Linked DNA regions of Struthio camelus. Each later gene encodes a partner of the first gene's protein in a complex. Links are inferred from orthologs where the notes say so. Each region holds a gene or a part of one and is shown on either strand. Other genes may lie near its edges.

What was found.
Region 2: the proteins of NFS1 (region 1) and ISCU are in contact, whole or in part, in a crystal structure (PDB 6W1D), measured with the Homo sapiens proteins. The link is inferred for Struthio camelus from reciprocal best matches to the Homo sapiens genes NFS1 and ISCU. Residues at the interface, in NP_066923.3 of Homo sapiens: Tyr360, Val361, Glu362, Glu364, Ser365, Leu367, Met368, Ala369, Lys371, Glu399, Asp400, His403, Ser404, His429, Arg432, Leu433, Glu435, Met436, Ser437, Pro438, Leu439, Glu441, Met442, Trp454, Thr455; in NP_998760.1 of Homo sapiens: Tyr35, Val40, His42, Tyr43, Glu44, Val49, Gly50, Ser51, Leu63, Val64, Gly65, Ala66, Pro67, Ala68, Cys69, Gly70, Val72, Lys74, Phe90, Lys91, Thr92, Phe93, Gly94, Cys95, Gly96, Ile99, Lys135.

What each region holds. Positions count from the first base shown.
Region 1 is NC_090959.1:1,433,238-1,441,254, forward strand, and holds the start of NFS1 (cysteine desulfurase), read left to right. Parts: upstream 1-4,891; coding exon 4,892-5,164; intron 5,165-5,200; exon of another isoform or gene 5,201-5,409; intron 5,410-5,959; coding exon 5,960-6,076; intron 6,077-6,595; coding exon 6,596-6,679; intron 6,680-7,810; coding exon 7,811-7,963; intron 7,964-8,017. Other genes in the region: ROMO1 (reactive oxygen species modulator 1), read right to left, coding at 1,204-1,312, 2,958-3,088, 4,732-4,893.
Region 2 is NC_090958.1:18,833,796-18,841,879, forward strand, and holds ISCU (iron-sulfur cluster assembly enzyme ISCU), read left to right. Parts: upstream 1-4,863; 5' UTR 4,864-4,911; coding exon 4,912-4,995; intron 4,996-5,086; coding exon 5,087-5,200; intron 5,201-5,982; coding exon 5,983-6,093; intron 6,094-6,767; coding exon 6,768-6,846; intron 6,847-7,247; coding exon 7,248-7,345; 3' UTR 7,346-7,803; downstream 7,804-8,084. Other genes in the region: SART3 (squamous cell carcinoma antigen recognized by T-cells 3), read right to left, coding at 1,310-1,414, 2,583-2,709, 3,721-3,912.

The DNA.
Region 1 (8,017 bases):
GACCACTGCAACATGATGGAAGCAAAGATGAGGTTTGTTTCAGAAGGCAAGTAACAGGAGACTGCAGCACTGAACGTAGCATAGTGTTTGCTAGAGGCATTGCTATAGCTGCTAGTGGATGGTAAGTAGCAATACAACATGTTTTCTCTGTGAGGTTTTGACCAGTTTATAAAATCCATTAAGGAAGGTTGGAGAAAAAGACCATGCCTGCAGCATACAGGTTGTTTGGTGGCACTGCTTGCTTTCATTGATGATGCCCCCTTCCTTGGTAAAGCAAATGGAAAAAACAGCTTTGAGTTCCCCTTACTGACAGCAGTAGCAACTGGCACTGCTCTATACTTCCTTTCTCCTTCTGTGGAAGGGCTGTAGGTTGGAGCATATCTTGCTGCACCCTACAGAACTGTACGGGCCTTCTGTGTGGCAGAACTGCGAAAGGCAGTATATTCCAGCTGCGCTCTTCTCCTTACTATTACATTAAGATACTAACTTACAGAAGAGCTGATTCCCCACAGCACAGACTATGCTAGTATTGATGGGAGGCATAGCAAATGTTTCTCACAGTCTGATAATGAAGTTAAATCTCCTCTGTTTACAATGCTGAGTCATCTTTGTGACTTCTCCCAAAATACCAAACACTTTCAGCTGTCATGCAACAGGAACTATTTTCTCTTACCACCAATTTAATGATTTCCAAATCTTATGACTGCATTTGCAACTGTTCTGTGTTCTTTCCTACTCAGCTGGGGGCATGTGATTCCAGCCTGTCAGAGGAAGAAGTCCCAAAAGCAGTAGTTTGCCCTCAGCAAGTTAAAGGACTTGCCTAACATCCCCAATAGGGAGTTGGTTTTCCTGTACTTTCAGTAAGGGAAAGTCACCCTAGAGCTGGGGTATTTACAACCACACATCAGAAAGGTGAGCTGCCCAAGTAGCAAAGGGAAAAAGCATTTACTATTCTTAGCCTATGAAATATGAACTGTAACACAGTACAAAGGGTTATTAGGAGGTCTCACTTTTATGGGAGTAAGGGAAGTGAGGAAAACATTTGGTAAAAAGCAAGCTTACAATCAACAAAGCGAGTAGGATAATGCTTCACAATTTCACATGAGGAGCACTCAAAATTCCAGGTATCTAAAGATTTTATTATAGTACAGAGGAAGAACGGCTGGACAAGGACTCTTCAGGTTAAAAAACCCAAGCTCCAAGTTAGCAGCGGATTCCCATACCAATAGCCATGAACGTCCCAAACGTCCCACCGCTTTGCATCATTGTTTTGCCAACTCCACCCATCAGTTCTCGTCCTCTCATGCCAATCCTGAGAGAAAAGAAAATGTAAAAATTGTACAGAAGTTGAAGCCCTGACAGGTGACGGACACACACAGAGGTGAAAACGTTTGACACAACCAGCTGATTATCACAAGTGGCCAAAAATCAATGTTTAAATTTAAATTGGTAATTTAAAGTGGTATCTTCAAGTTTCACAAAGACTGGCTGCGCTGCACTGTGTCTGACCTACTGCAAAGAAAAGCAGAGCTGTTTTCTTTGAGACACTTCAGTGACTCACTCCAGTGGTCCACGTGTATTTTCTTCTGTGGCTGTACTAGCTGACCCTGTACCCTCCTGCCCTGCCGTTTCCTTGTGTCAGCATAGGGATCTGCGGGGCTGTGCATGAGGGACCCGCTCAAGACAAACGTAACAATGTTTCCCCCTCAGCTTGTCCAAGCACTTCCATTCCCTGACTCCACAAATGGATGTGCTGACAACTGGTAGCATGCTGCAGAAAGAGGAAAAGAAAATGGGAAAAAGAGGAGCGGGAAAGGCTTTAACTGCTAGTGCCCCACGCATCCTTATTTTGGGGAAACAAAGCTTAGTTCTGGCTGCATATTTGACCTGCCAGGGAATAAAAAGGATCTGAACTGTTGAATCTTAGTCCTGTCTGGCTATATAGGCAGTAGTTTTAATACCATCAACTTGGAAACCACGTTGTCAACTAATTTCCCATGTACCACTGACACTGTATTTTTAATATGAGAGAAATTTAAAAGGCCTAGAAGTCTTCAGATGCGCTTTTGTTCTCCTGTTCACATTTATTTAAGGTTGGACCAAAAAAGTGAACTGTTTCTTAGAAAGTTCTTGAAATACTTGGCTTTTAAGCGCGGCAGGGAGTGTAGTGTCTAAGGAATTCTGTGTACGGCTTTTCAAAACAAAGATTTTTCCAGAACAATGGCACAACAGAAGTAACGTAGCTGCGTTCCATTTTTCAAGTATTACAGACCCACTGTCACTGCTTCTTTATACCATACAAAATATATTTGCTACTAGCACAGTACCATTTACAAACATGCTGCAGGATCTGAGAGGGATCAGAACATTTTTAAATTTAAATGTTAAGATTAGATTTTGTGCCTTTTCCTCCTTTTCAGGGGCACTACAAAATTATCACCCATTTTTAATCACAGGTTAAAAAATCTCAAGCACAAGGAGTTGTGCAAAATATTAGAGTTTACTTTAGTAACTCTTTTTAATGGATGATGTGTACCAAAGCCAGCCAGAAAGTAGCACAAGAGGTAACTCGGCCGAGCAGAGACCATTCTTTGTTTCTGTGTTGGCATGCTGGATAGCATAAGGGGCACTCGGGCTATTACCTCTCCCCAGTTTACGATAGGACTGTGCCACTGACAGCCACCAATTCAGACTGGGCTCCTGCATTCAAGACTCCAGGTCAATAAGATAACTACGTCCATGCAGGGGGTGCAGGGAAACGGGACACGCAAATCAAGCAAGATACAGATCACTGAGAGCTTGCAGAATACCTCAGACAATCTTTAGAGCTAAGACATGGCCGTGTACGCACTGCCGTGGGTCCAGATCATTCGTTCGGCTCTGTTTGAAACTGAACGGGGAATATTTCTCTCTGGCTGTATCGTTACCTGTCCAGGAAAGCCATTTCTGCGACATACCTGAGGCAGGAAAACGTGCCAAACAGCGCTCCTGCTGCCATGCCTACTGCAAAGCCCATCATGAAACCCATTTTTATTCTGTCAAAGCAGTTGGGCTGCGATTGCCCATATGGGCCCACAGTCACAGGCATCTAGAAAAGAAAGCACAAAAGAAAACCACAAAAGGAACATGGATCTACCACTTTGTCTAATCTACTTCTAGAACCAAATTGGGCTGGATAGCAGCAGTTGTGAGGTCCTTACGTACCAGAGCCTCTCACTACTGTAGTACCGTAGGCAAACTGACTAGCTGGCAGCCCAGGCAGGTCACTGAACTGGAACGGGATTGCAGCCTGTCAGTTTATTAGCAAAATACACTGGAAAGGCCCAGTTCTAGTGCCCTGGGTTTTCCCTCTCTCTGCAACTCGGAGCAGAAGACACGCTGTAGGAAGGAAGTTTTTAAACTTGCTTGCTCACTTAACAAATAGGAAACAATAGCAAAGAAACGCCAATACCTTGATGACAGCCCTGTTTTGCCGTCAGCAAGCCTCTGTGAAAGCCACTATGTTTCTGATAACTAGTTTGAGGTCCCTCACTCGGGACCGTCTGTAAAGCCCTTCTCTAGGGGCTGGAGCGCACTTCTGTTTGGTGTCTCCCAACGAACAGGCGGGGCCCCCTCACAACGCCTCTGCCACGAGGCTTGCTGTCCCAAGGTGTTTTCACCTGGGGCTTTTCCCTGTACAGTTCGGAGAGCAGAGAAACGGGAAAAAACGAGTCTGTGCTACGGGAGTCCAGCACGAGGACGTCTAAGGGAGCAGCAGCTCCCGTGACCAACCCCCGCGTCCAACACGCCTTGCACGGCCGTTCAGGGTCGCACAAACTGCCAACTTGCTGCTCGGAGCAGCGGCGCTGCGCTCTTCTCACTAGTAACGTCTCTAACCTTCCGGAGCAGCTACTTTCAAGAAAGAACAAAACTGGGCTTTCACCACGTCCATGCTGCACCGTTTTAGCCGGGCTGCGCACACCACGATCAGTAACTCATAGCAGAGGCCTCCCCAGCAGTCCCGTGACACCACGAGCTTTCCAAAAGGGCTGAAACAACTGGGATCTTACGCTATTTCGCAAAACAGAAACAGACTCGCTATTTCTCTCCTGACACGCTGCTGAAACCTCTAGTTTCCCTGTCATCACCCGGGCTTGAACGCGCAGAACCGCGTTACTAAAACAGCGAGGCTCGCAAGGCCTCCCTGGGGGGCGCCGCCGCTCGCAGGAGAGGCTGGATAAACCGGAAAGCAGGAGCCTGCTGCCAGCCTCCCGCCCCTTCGCCTAACGAAACGGTGTCGCGGCCGCGACCGGCACCCGGGCGGCGAAGTCCTTTAACCCGGAGCTCGCTCGCCCCCGCCGCGGGCTTCCAGCCGCGCGTCCGGCCTCCGCGCCTGGCGGGGCGGCTCCCGGCCGCCAGCGGCCCCCGGCCAGCCCCGAGCGCCCGGAGAGGCGGCACCCACCCCCCCCGACCCCCCCGGCCCCGGCCAGCCCCGAGCGCCCGGAGAGGCGGCACCCACCCCCCCCGCCCCCGCCCCCGGCCAGCCCCGAGCGCCCGGAGAGGCGGCCCCCGCCGCCCCGGCCCGGCCCCCGCCGCCGCCGCCCCCACCCCCCGCCGCCGCCGCCCCCACCCCCCCCCCGGCCCGGGCCGACGCTTGCTGTCGAGGCGCCGCTGAGGCCCGGCGGCCCCGGCCGCGTCGCAGCGGCACCACCAGCGACGCCGCCCGCGCAGGGCTGAGCGGCCCAGCCGTACCTCGCCCCTCGCTCGCCTCGGTGCGCCCTCCGCCTCCTGCCGCTCGGGCCTCCCGCTTCCGGCGCGCTCCGTGGCACTCCCGGAAGGGGCGGGCGGAGGGGCCGGGAGCTGCGGCGCGGGCGGGGCCGCTTCCGCCTGCGCCCCGCAGCCGCGCGCCGCCATGCTGGTGTGGCGGCGCCTGGCGGCCCTGCGGGCGGCCCGCGGCCCCGCGGCCCGGCGGCTCTCGGCGGCAGCGGCGGCAGCGGAGCCGGCAGCGGGACGCGGTAAGGCCGGGGCTGCGGCGGGGAGGGCGGCGGCGCGCGGGGCCGGAGCGGGCGCTGCGTGCCCGGCGGCCGGCGCCCCATGGCGGCTCTCCCTCTCCGCAGGGCAACGCGGCGATGGAGGCGGCGCCCTGCGGCCGCTGTACATGGACGTCCAGGCCACCACCCCGCTGGTGCGTGCCGGGCCGCGGTCTGCGCCTCGCCGCCTGGGAGCCGGCCCCCGCCCGGCCCTGCGCACGCTTCGCACGGGGCAGGAAAGGCGGCGGGCGCCGAGGGAGACGCTCCCTGCCCTTGTGTTTCCTTCTTTTCCTGCGGCGCTCGCTTCCTGAGCTTGAAGCGCTTACTGCGTTTCTTCTGACGGCTGCTGCTCGCCAGCATCGTTTACAATGAATTGCGGTTGACAAACGTTTTTATTTTGGTAACGGAGGAAGTCTCGGTCATCCGGGAAAAGTCTTTGTAGTGCCATGACGACAGTCTTGTCCATCATCTACTCTTACACGTTTCCCAGGGGATTTTAGAGACTTAGTGCATCTTCTTAACGTTTTGTGGATGCAAGATGTGGTAACGAGAGGAGTCATGTTACAGCTTAAACTAAAACTAGCCGCGGTGGGCGTTGTTTGGAGGAGAGATGAGGAAGTAATATAACTAACTTTTTTTGTTTTTTGGTGTAATTTCTATGAGTTGTTAAGATTGTGTATCCCTTCTCCTCAGCAAGTCCAGTTCTTCTGAGATCATCTCGGTACAGACCGAGGTTGCCAGATTACTTGTTGTGTTTGCCAGATCCTTGCAGGGCATGTTGTATGGAGTACGTGCAATGACCTTAAGTTGTCCCGGTCTGGCCTGAAATGAAGAGAGGCACTAGAGCAGAAGTGCTAGTTCTGGGCTATAAGGAACGGTACTTGTGCCTAGAGAGGAAGGAAATGCGCCTCATTTTCAGTTTTTAAGCTTGAGCTGTTTGTGTCCTGCAGGATCCTAGAGTTCTGGACAGCATGCTTCCTTATCTGATGACCTACTATGGTAACCCTCATTCCAGGACTCATGCCTATGGGTGGGAGAGTGAGGCTGCCATGGAAAAAGCAAGACGGGTGAGTGCCTTCAGCACTCCAAAGGTTCACGGTTTTCCTGCTGGTGAAGAAATCGAATTTAAAAAGAAAATCAAAAGCAAGAAAAAACTGTTTTATTTAGCTGTTTCTCTGTGCGCTGGATTTAGCAACCTCATTTCCTTTAGTATGCTTCTGCAGTAACTGGGCTAATTTCATGCTTTATGATTATAAATTGATAAGATTTTTTTCTCCTAATCTTAGTTATGGGTCTTTGTGGCTTATTTTGGATGTAGTACTTACTCGTTTTCACATTTTAAACTATTATTCTTTTATGAGAAGCTAATGCTTAATACCATTACTAATGTTGACTTTGATTTCCTTATATATTCTGTATTAATGGAGATATTTAGACTGTTGTATCTGTAGTGCCGTTTTGTTAGGCACTGGCTATAATTGTTTCGAGGCTCAAGACTGTGTTCTAGAAAACACTTTGTGTTTTTCATATGGTGAATTCATTGCATGTTAGAATAACAAATCATATCTGTGTTTCTCTTTAAACAGCAAGTGGCAGATTTAATAGGAGCGGATCACAGAGAAATTATTTTTACCAGTGGTGCTACAGAATCAAATAATATGGCAATTAAGGTAAAAGGTTTATACTGGTGGCTGTTTAGTACAGCTGTTATTGAATCTGTAAGGGCTTTGTGTCACAGATCATGCTGTTAAGAACCATACACACCTCTCAACAGTTTAAGTGTTAATTTGTTGACCTTGTTAGCATGTGTTTGTTTTATCACTGTTTGTTTTATCACTTGCCATATTCTGCTAGATAGATGGAAGAAATATTGGGATGGCATGCTCTCTAGGGCATGGTTTTGAGGGCAGGGTATAACATGTGATGTTTTGTTTTCTTCTAAAAATGAGCTTATGTGATGGGATTTGTTCTCTGGTGAAAAGCACCTCAGCCTTCTGCTATTGATGTAATTAGTCCATAAAATTCTTTAGGTTGACAGTTTTCCATTCTGATGCTAATTTAAAGATATTAGAATTTTTTGGTTAGATCTGAACAAAATTAAAATTAGTTCATGGTATTTTTTTGTTTTTTTTTTTTGTTTTTATTTTAACTGGAGATAAAATGTATGTCTATCTTACGTGCACTAAGCACAGTACTTCTGCTTGCACGATTAAAACATTTATCGTGAAGTACGGCAGAGATGCTGATTATGAACTTTTTTCTGACTAAGACTAGTTAACATTTTAACCTTTAGCGTAGTTGTATGTGGCTGTTCAGATTTTTCATTCCATATGATTTCATAAGTTTTTAAAAAAAGGGTTTCTATTGATAAAAAATATGTAGAATTTTTATCTAACAACTTTTCAGACTTTTTTGAAAACTGAGATGCTTTTGAAAAATGAATCGTGATGCAAGTATCTAGTGTAAATGACATGTTATTGCCTTTTAGATTCATGACTTTGGGGCAGAGAAGATTGAAATGGAATAATGTCTGAATTGTAGTTTTACAGCATAGTTGAGTAATTAATTGGAAAAGAAAAATTTTCTTCCTCTGAGTCAAAGTTACCTTCTGGCTTCCTCTGAGTAAACTGTAATGCTGCAGAATGGACTATTGCTAATTCTCTTGTTTGTTATGCATGAGTTGTTTCAGCCTGTACCGTGTAGTACTTGGTCTAGTTTCTTGTTTATGAGGATTTTATGTAAAGTTTGCTCTCTTCAGCAATTTAACAGCAAATTTCTTGTTTATGGATTGTGCATGACAGGGTGTTGCACGATTCTATAAATCCAGAAAGAAGCACATCATTACTACCCAAACAGAGCACAAGTGTGTGCTGGATTCTTGCCGTTCCCTGGAGACGGAAGGTTTTCAGGTCACATATCTGCCTGTTAAAAAAAATGGGCTCATCGATTTGAAGGTAGGTTTTTACTGTCACAAAGATAGTAAGCATGGAAGAGATTTTTGCTTCAAA
Region 2 (8,084 bases), on another chromosome or scaffold:
TTCTAGGGACTTGTATCAGCACCAGCAGCTAAAAATTTCTCTTCTGAAAGAGGTCACCATTGTGGTCATTACTGGCACTGACAGACTCCATTTGCCACCTCTGGCATGCAAGCTACATTAAAGAGGTACATCAAGAGTGCCCGACAGCACTTCTCTCGAGCACGTGCACAGAGCTGGGACCACGAAGCTGTCACACTCCTAGAGAAGTCAGAGATGAAGGTAGGTCCTCTTTCTAGACTCCCATAACTGCCTGTTCAGCCACTGCTTAAGCAGCATAATTATGAAGGCGAGGAGGAGGTGCCAGAATGGCCTTAGCTTGCCCAGCACCCATCCCTCCAATAGCAGTCCTCGAGCAAATCAAGGACCCTAGTAGAGATGATCAACCAACAGATGTTACACTGCAAAACTCAAATTCCAAAAAAAGAGTCTTTCCAAACCCTAAGCACAACCCATTCAGCAGATGGGTCTCTACAGTCCTTCTTCCTGAACCATCAAAAACACCCTGCAGCGTCAGCTGCGCTGGTGCAGTAACGTGACACTTTATGTATAGCTTCTGCAAGTGATTTTCCTCCAATGCTACCATGTCCTCCCTCTACTACTCATTTCAGGCTACCTGTTTTCAGGGGATTGTCACCACAACACCCCAAAAGAATAAGATTCTTCAGTGCTTCAGCTCGGCACACGGCAGCAGTGAGGTCCTGACAAGTGGAAAGACAAGGCCCCACACACTTCTCTCCTTCTTAATGAAAAGGCACTAGCACTGCAGCATGGCAAGAGTCACCTATTTAGCAGGGTTTTGAGAATGCCGTCTCCAAGGCAGTATCTGCGACCTGTTCCGAAAGAGCTGTCACACAGTGGAAACAACAGTAAGGGCAGCAGTAAGCAACACAGAAAATGACTGCAGAAGCCAGCCTTTTAAAAGCATTCTTCTTCCAAAAAGGAAGAGCTAAAGAACCCTTAATGGGTAACACAGGAGGCACTGTCTGCAGGTAAAAAGTTGATGAAAAGCCAGCAAAGTATGCATAATATTTGCTGCTTTTTGAAATCAGAGAAATGTGAAAAAAGCATTTACAATTTTTTGCAACATCTTTCTAGAAAACCTTAGACTGCAGTGGTACATGAAGGCCATTTAAAGCCAAGACTTGTTAATTGCTTTGCTACAGAAAAACTGAGGACTATTTCATACTAATATTTTGATCCATTTTCTGCATTATAACAGCAACAGGAAAAGGAAGAAACTCTCCTGGAAAAGGAAAGCCATAACCCAAATGCAACACTACACCTTTTGTAGGATATATTAACAACTTACAGATGTAGTCCTTCACGGCTCTCTCAAACAGCTCATAAACTTTCTCTCGCTCAGAGCTTTCAGAAGCCATTTTTATCTCATCCTTCAACCAGTCCAGCCAAATTTCTGAAAGCAAGAAGTTTAGAATGCATCACCAGCATTCAGAAAGATTAAGTCAAACCCACTTGTTGAATATTGTGGACAGATTTTAAGTCACATTCCTTAAAAAAACAGAGGGAGGGAAGGGGGAGAAGAGAGCGAGTTTGGCCTCCACAATTACTCAGGCTTAATTTAAATGAGAAGTCCGGTACAGACTTTTCCAACTTGGTACTAAAAAAGTACATTTGTATTTTAAGAAAGCAGAAGATGCAAACAGTGACTCATCAACACCTTGGGCAGAAGATCAGCGTGGTGCCAGCAACCAAAGAGGCATAAAGAGATATATCTTTCCTGAAACTTTAAGAACAAAAAAGTAACAACAACAACAAGCACCACCCCCGCCACCAGTAACCAGCACTACAGGCTGCAGAGTTCCTGAAACATAAAGGGGAAATCTTCCCCTGCCTTTGCTAAAAGGAAAGTGGCAGAACAGCCTCTGCAATGTTTATACCACCTCGGAATTTGTTACGAATTTAAAAAGGGGGGGGGGGGGGGGAAAGACACACACACCAAGGGCTATCTACAGCTTCCACTAACATAAATTGCACAGGAAGGAAACAAAAATATTAACTTTTGACAGTCTGTCTAGGCTCTGAGTCACATTCACTGAAAAAATGACTACAGCCATTTCCGTACCGCCATCCCTCAGCTGTATGTTACCAACCCCATAGCAAAGCGAGCACAAGCAAACACGCGCCTGCTCCTGGGCTGCAGCAGCTCACACCCTGGCAGCAAGTCATCTTCTCCAGCAGCTTAGGCTAACAGGCCATAAACTGGAGTAGCTGGGCACGCATGCATGCGCGCACAAACATGGACACGTACCCTCCCACCAGTTCCGTTATACAGCAGTAACCTCTGGCAGAGGACAGCACAGGCAGTTGCAAGCGGTAAAAATTTGAATTCCTGCAGTGCATCTGCCAGAGCCCAAGGTCAACGCTGGCCATCAACACCAACACTGCTCAGAGTTTAAAGAGTCCCCAGTCTGCTCTTTTGGGCTTCTTTGGTCTGAAACTTCAGTGTCGAGACCTGACTATTTCACTACTGAAACTGAATACTGAAACATTTCACTACTACATTTCACGCAGATGGTGCTTAAATAGCAGTAGCTGCAACATTAGCTGAACACGTTCTATACCTTCAGTAAGCGGGAAGAGTTCACTCATCTTCTGACGAGCTCTTCTGAGCTTTACCAGCTCTCCCTCCTGGCGGAGCAGTTTTATCAGATCCAAGTGACAGTTGTAGTCAAAAGCATTGATAGAAAGCTTTAAAAAAAAAAAAAAAAAAAAAAAGCCTTTTTCAAGAACTGTTAAGTGATGGACACGTAGAAGTCAAAAAACGCTTAGCAGAACAGAACACCATACCTTCTTTCCAAGCATATGAATGTCATCATCTGTTCACACAAGAGATACAGCACCTACCTTCCTACAGATAGTGCCAAACTTCGCTACCAATTGCGAGATACTTTCCATTCAGAGAATTCATAAAAAACTGCCAAGTTAGGCAAACCTTTAAAGTTAAGTTTTTAGGGCTAATTTACTGTTGAATAGCGCATACTCTGGGGTCAGAAGCACAGGACCACTAGCTGCAAAAACTGACCAAAGACATCATTGCCATTGCAAAAGGCGACAGCACACACCTAAACAACCTCAATGTCACCATCCGTACACAAAGCAGATATTGACCACAAAGCCTTCTTCAGTAAGGAAAGGTTTTCAAAGCGTTTTTGTTTCTTCCATGGCAAAAACAAACAAACAAAACACGCGGGCAGCAAGAAGAGCTTTTTCGATGAATAAAGCTGTTCATTCACCAAGACTCTCGTTCGCAGTCTTTTTGAAAAAACCTTCCCCTCCCCCCCAAAAAACAAACAATCCCCCCTCCACACGCATACTTTAGACTCCAAATACTCCTGTCTAAACAGAATCTCAGCACCGCGCTACATGAGCGACCCTAGATTTTTTTTTTCCCAGCATCGCTGCGGATGTTTCGTTAGCCACAAAAGGGAAAGTCAGCGCGCAGGGGGGCTCCGCGCCCTGCTTGCCTAGAGGGAAGGCGCCAGTTCCCAGGGACGAGCCCCGGCGCGGCCGCCCCTCTCCGCCGGGCCGCCCGCGGCCGCCGCGTCTCTCATGGCAACGCGTGCGGCGGAGGCGGGCCGCCCGCGCAGGGGCCGGCCCGGGCGGCGAGGCCTGCGCCGCTCCCCCGCCGGCGCCGGGCCGAGGAGCTGCCCCGCCGCCGCCGCCCCCTCCTCACACGCCGCCAGCTCCCGCAGGCCTCACCTGCTCCTCCAGCCGCTGGATCTCGGCCTCGTTCTCCTTCTCCTCATCCTCCCCGTCGCCCGACGAGTCCGAGTCGCCCCCGTCCTCCGAGTCGCCACCCGACTCGGGATCGCCCTCCGGTAACCGCTTCTCCTCTTCCTCCTCCTCTTCCACCGCCGCCGCTGCAGCCGCCTCGGCTCCCGCCGCCGCCATCTTATGCAGCTCCCTTCGCAGCCAGCGCCGCTCCGCCAGCCGCCGGGGCTGCCCGCGCCGCGCCTAAGCCGCCGTCACGCCCTGCCGCCGGGCAAACCCCGCGGGGAGAGGGGCGAGCCGCCGCCCGCAGGGCCCCGCGCTCCGCCGCGCACCGGCACCGCTCCCGGCCGAGCGACTCCGGGCCGTCCCGCTTGCCGGCTGCTGCGAGGCGCAGGCATCGCTGCGGCCACCTCGGGCCCTGGCCGCCGGGGGGCCTCCGAGAAGGTCGGCGCGGGCCCGGAGCGCGCGTGCGCCGCCGGTCCGCCATGTTGAGTGTGGCGGTGGCTGGCGGGGAGCCCAACCCCGCCCCGGCCGCCAACGGCTGCTGCGCCACACTTCGCGGCCGAAAAAATAAAAAAAAAAAAACACCCCGAGCTACTGTTCATCCGTTTTAGTGACAGCGTTAGGGTTCTTGAAGACGGCCCAAAGCGTTCCCTCTGTTTACGAGATGGCTTTCCTCGCGTCCGGGTTACATCACCGGCGCGCTGCCCGAGGCGGCCAGATAACGTTCGCGTGGGCTCGGCCGCCTATCTTGCCCGAGCACGCGTCCCCCGCGCCCTCCGCCAGGCTGCCACACCGCGCGCCTCTCCCGGCACCAGCCCCGCCATGCCGCGGAAACAGCGGCGGACGGGGCGACCTGACGGCACCTGAGGAGCCTCCTGCGAGGGGGCGCGGAGGGGCTGGGGGAACCGCCGGCAACGTAACCGTCGGCTGAGTACTTGGGGGGGGGGTGCACCGAAGCGTGGGCCAGAGCCAGCGTCCGGGGAGAGACGACAGCCGAGAGGGGAAGGGGCTCGCCGGGAGCCGCCAGGCACGGCCCGCCCGCCCCGCTTCTGCCAGGCCGCTGGCCCAGGCCCGTGAGGAGCGCGGCCGCCCGCGCAGCGCCCCGCGGCCCCGCCCCCTCCCGCCGCCACACGATAAAAGGGCGGCGCGGCGCGACCCGCCCCCGCGCGGACCAAGATGGCGGCGCTGAGGGCGGCGGGGGCCGCGCTGCTGCGGCCCGGGCGCGGCGAGGCGGCGGCGAGGTTGGGCTACCACAAGAAGGTGAGGGGCAACGGGACGGGACCGGGGTGGGGGGGAGGAGGGCCGCCGCCGCCGCGGCGACGGGCTTTGGTGACGCGGTGCCCGCCCGCAGGTGGTGGACCACTACGAGAACCCGCGCAACGTCGGCTCGCTCGACCGCAACGCCAAGAACGTGGGCACCGGCCTGGTGGGCGCCCCCGCCTGCGGGGACGTCATGAAGCTCCAGGTGAGCGGGAGGGGAGGGCCCCCCCTTTCCCCCCCCCTTTCCCCCCTTCCCCTTTCCCCCCCTTCCCCCCCTTCCCCCTTCTCTTCTCTTTTCCCCCCCTTCCCCCCCCTTCCCCCTTCTCTTTTCCCCCCCTTCCCCCCCCTTCCCCCTTCTCTTCTCTTTTCCCCCCCTTCCCCCCCCTTCCCCCCTTCTCTTCTCTTTTCCCCCCCTTCCCCCCCCTTCCCCCCCTTCTCTTCTCTTTTCCCCCCCTTCCCCCCCTTCTCTTCTCTTTTCCCCCCCTTCCCCCCCTTCTCTTCTCTTTTCCCCCCCTTCCCCCCCTTCTCTTCTCTTTTCCCCCCCTTCCCCCCCCTTCCCCCCCTTCCCCCCTTCTCTTCTCTTTTCCCCCCCTTCCCCCCCTTCCCCCCCCTTTCCCCCCTTCTCTTCTCTTTTCCCCCCCTTCCCCCCCCTTCCCCCCCTTCTCTTCTCTTTCCCCCCCCTTTCCCCCCCTCCCCTTCTCTTCTCTTTCCCTTCTTTTCTCCTCTTCCCCCCCCCCCCCCCCCCCCGACTTGTGACCTTGGGGCTCCTCGGCCGCAGCGAGGCCTGCTGCAGTTTGGCCTGCCCCAGGGACGGGCCTGGTCCTGTCTGTCCCCCCCCCGCCCCGAGCCCAGGCAGGGCTTGTCGCTGCTCCCCCGGGGATGGGTGTGAGTCAGGTGCTGCCCCCCCCCCCCCCCCCCAGGGGTGGTTCAGGGGTGCCCGGTGAGGCAGAGCCGGCCCCTGAGGTGCTGCTGCCGACGTTCCCGCAGGTGGAGGTGGACGAGAACGGGAAGATCATCGATGCCCGTTTCAAGACGTTCGGCTGCGGATCGGCCATCGCTTCCAGTTCGCTGGCTACGGAGTGGGTTAAAGGGAAAACGGTAAGGGTCTCTGTGGAGGCAGTGCCGTGGAAAGCGTTTGAAGTTTCAAGCCCCACTGTGTTGGGGCCACCGAAGAAGCGGAGGCCTGGAAAGCGCTCTGGAGAAGTGGTGCTATGTAATGTACTAGCTTAGAAAGCTGTGCCTGAGAACTCTGTCCTTGTCAGTGGCCTGGCTTCTGGGGCAGTAGCTGTCTCCTCCAAGAACCTGCACTAATTTGCAGAGAAACGCTTTGTGGATTATACAGCAAGAAAAACAGATTGCAAGATCTGGAAAAAAACTTTTAAAACCACATTTTTCAGATTACTTACCCCCTTTTTTTTTTGGTGAGTTCATGGGTTTCAGTATTGTGCGGAAAAGGTAAACAAACTTAAAACAATTCCTTAGTCATGTTCAGTCCATAACACTAGCATGTTTTGGTTAGTTAACACTGCTGCTTGGCTTGAGGCATTCCTTGAGATTGTTACTTGGCTGGCACAGAAGAAAACTGGATAGATGTTGAGGGTCTTTCTCGTGTTAGCGTGTTGTCCAGCGTCCTTTGCTGCCAGGGGCAGTTGAGATATTCTTTGTGGATTCTGTTGGCCTCTGGAGCCTTAAAGCGCTCTTCTCACAAATACGTTTGGAGCCTGTATTATTTATCAGATGACTAGTATCTTCACACTAACTGTATGTTTCAGGTTGATGAAGCTTTGAAGATCAGGAATACAGATATTGCTAAAGAACTTTGCCTTCCTCCAGTCAAACTGCACTGCTCTAGTAAGTAAAGGACTAAGCTATTAAAGTCCAAAGACAAGTTTGTGGGAATAAGACTTCTGGCAATAGCACAGATGCTTCCAAATGTTATTGTCCAAATCAAATACCTGTACCTGGAACAACTGAGGCTGGCCTGCAAGAGAAAGTAGCTTATATTCGGGCTTTGGGGTGACATTACAAGTTTCCAAGTCTGTCATCTTTTGGGTTTTGTGTAGCTCAGAAGACTGGTGACAATAAAAGGTCTGACTCCTGACTGTCTGCTTCTAAAATACTGACCCTGTTCTCAAACTCCTACGCTAACTTCTGTGGGGTTTACTGCTGCTGGTTTTACTGCATATTGTGTTCAAAATGACTTCTCGCCTCTCTTGAAATAGTTGTAAGGCCTCGTTTTGTTTTCTTTGTAGTGTTGGCTGAAGATGCAATCAAGGCCGCCTTGGCTGATTACAAGCTGAAGCAGGATCCAAAGAAAGAAGAGTCGGAGAAGAAAGCAAACAATGCCTAAACTGACTGTAGAGCTTGTTCTCATTCCACTTAAATTTGCAGTGCAATTACTCTAGCTATTAGTAGGATCCTGTGCACTACTAAATGAAGCTGTAAGATACGCACAACTTACGCACAATGTGTCACTGTTCCATGTGTGTTAAGACACTTGTAGTGCTTAAGTGACTGGAATGTGGGTATTTCAGCAGTCTGTATCCTATCGTGACTATTCTTGGAAATATTTGGGTGAAGGAGACTGCTTAACTGCAGACAGCTATAGTGGCTTCTCTCAGAAGTGAAAATTCTGGTGTTCCAGTGCTGGAATGGCTGCACTTTTTGGAAGATGTATAGTTTTGCCTAATGTTTTACAGAGTTTAGTGGGAACGTTGCCTTGGTCTTAATATTTATGTAAGAACTGCAGGTCAATTTATATATCAATGCAGTATACAAATGTGAGGCAGTTCATCTGTCTGCAAACTACAGCTGTGTCGGAAGTTTCATTTCACAATCAGACCTGTTCCCTCTCATGTGCTTTCTCCTGTGCTCAGTTCCTCCTCTCTGGGAGGTACTGGGACAGTTCAACGCTGAAGGGGGAGGGCAGGAACAGGCACTAGGGGGCAGTGAAAATACGCTCATGGGAGATGCAGCGAATACTGACTCGGGAGCCACAGCTCCAAAAAGTGCTTGTGTGTACTGAAATGAGTGCCTTCACGGGGAATGAACGCTGTGACTACAGTTCCTGAAGACCCTTTCAATCCTGT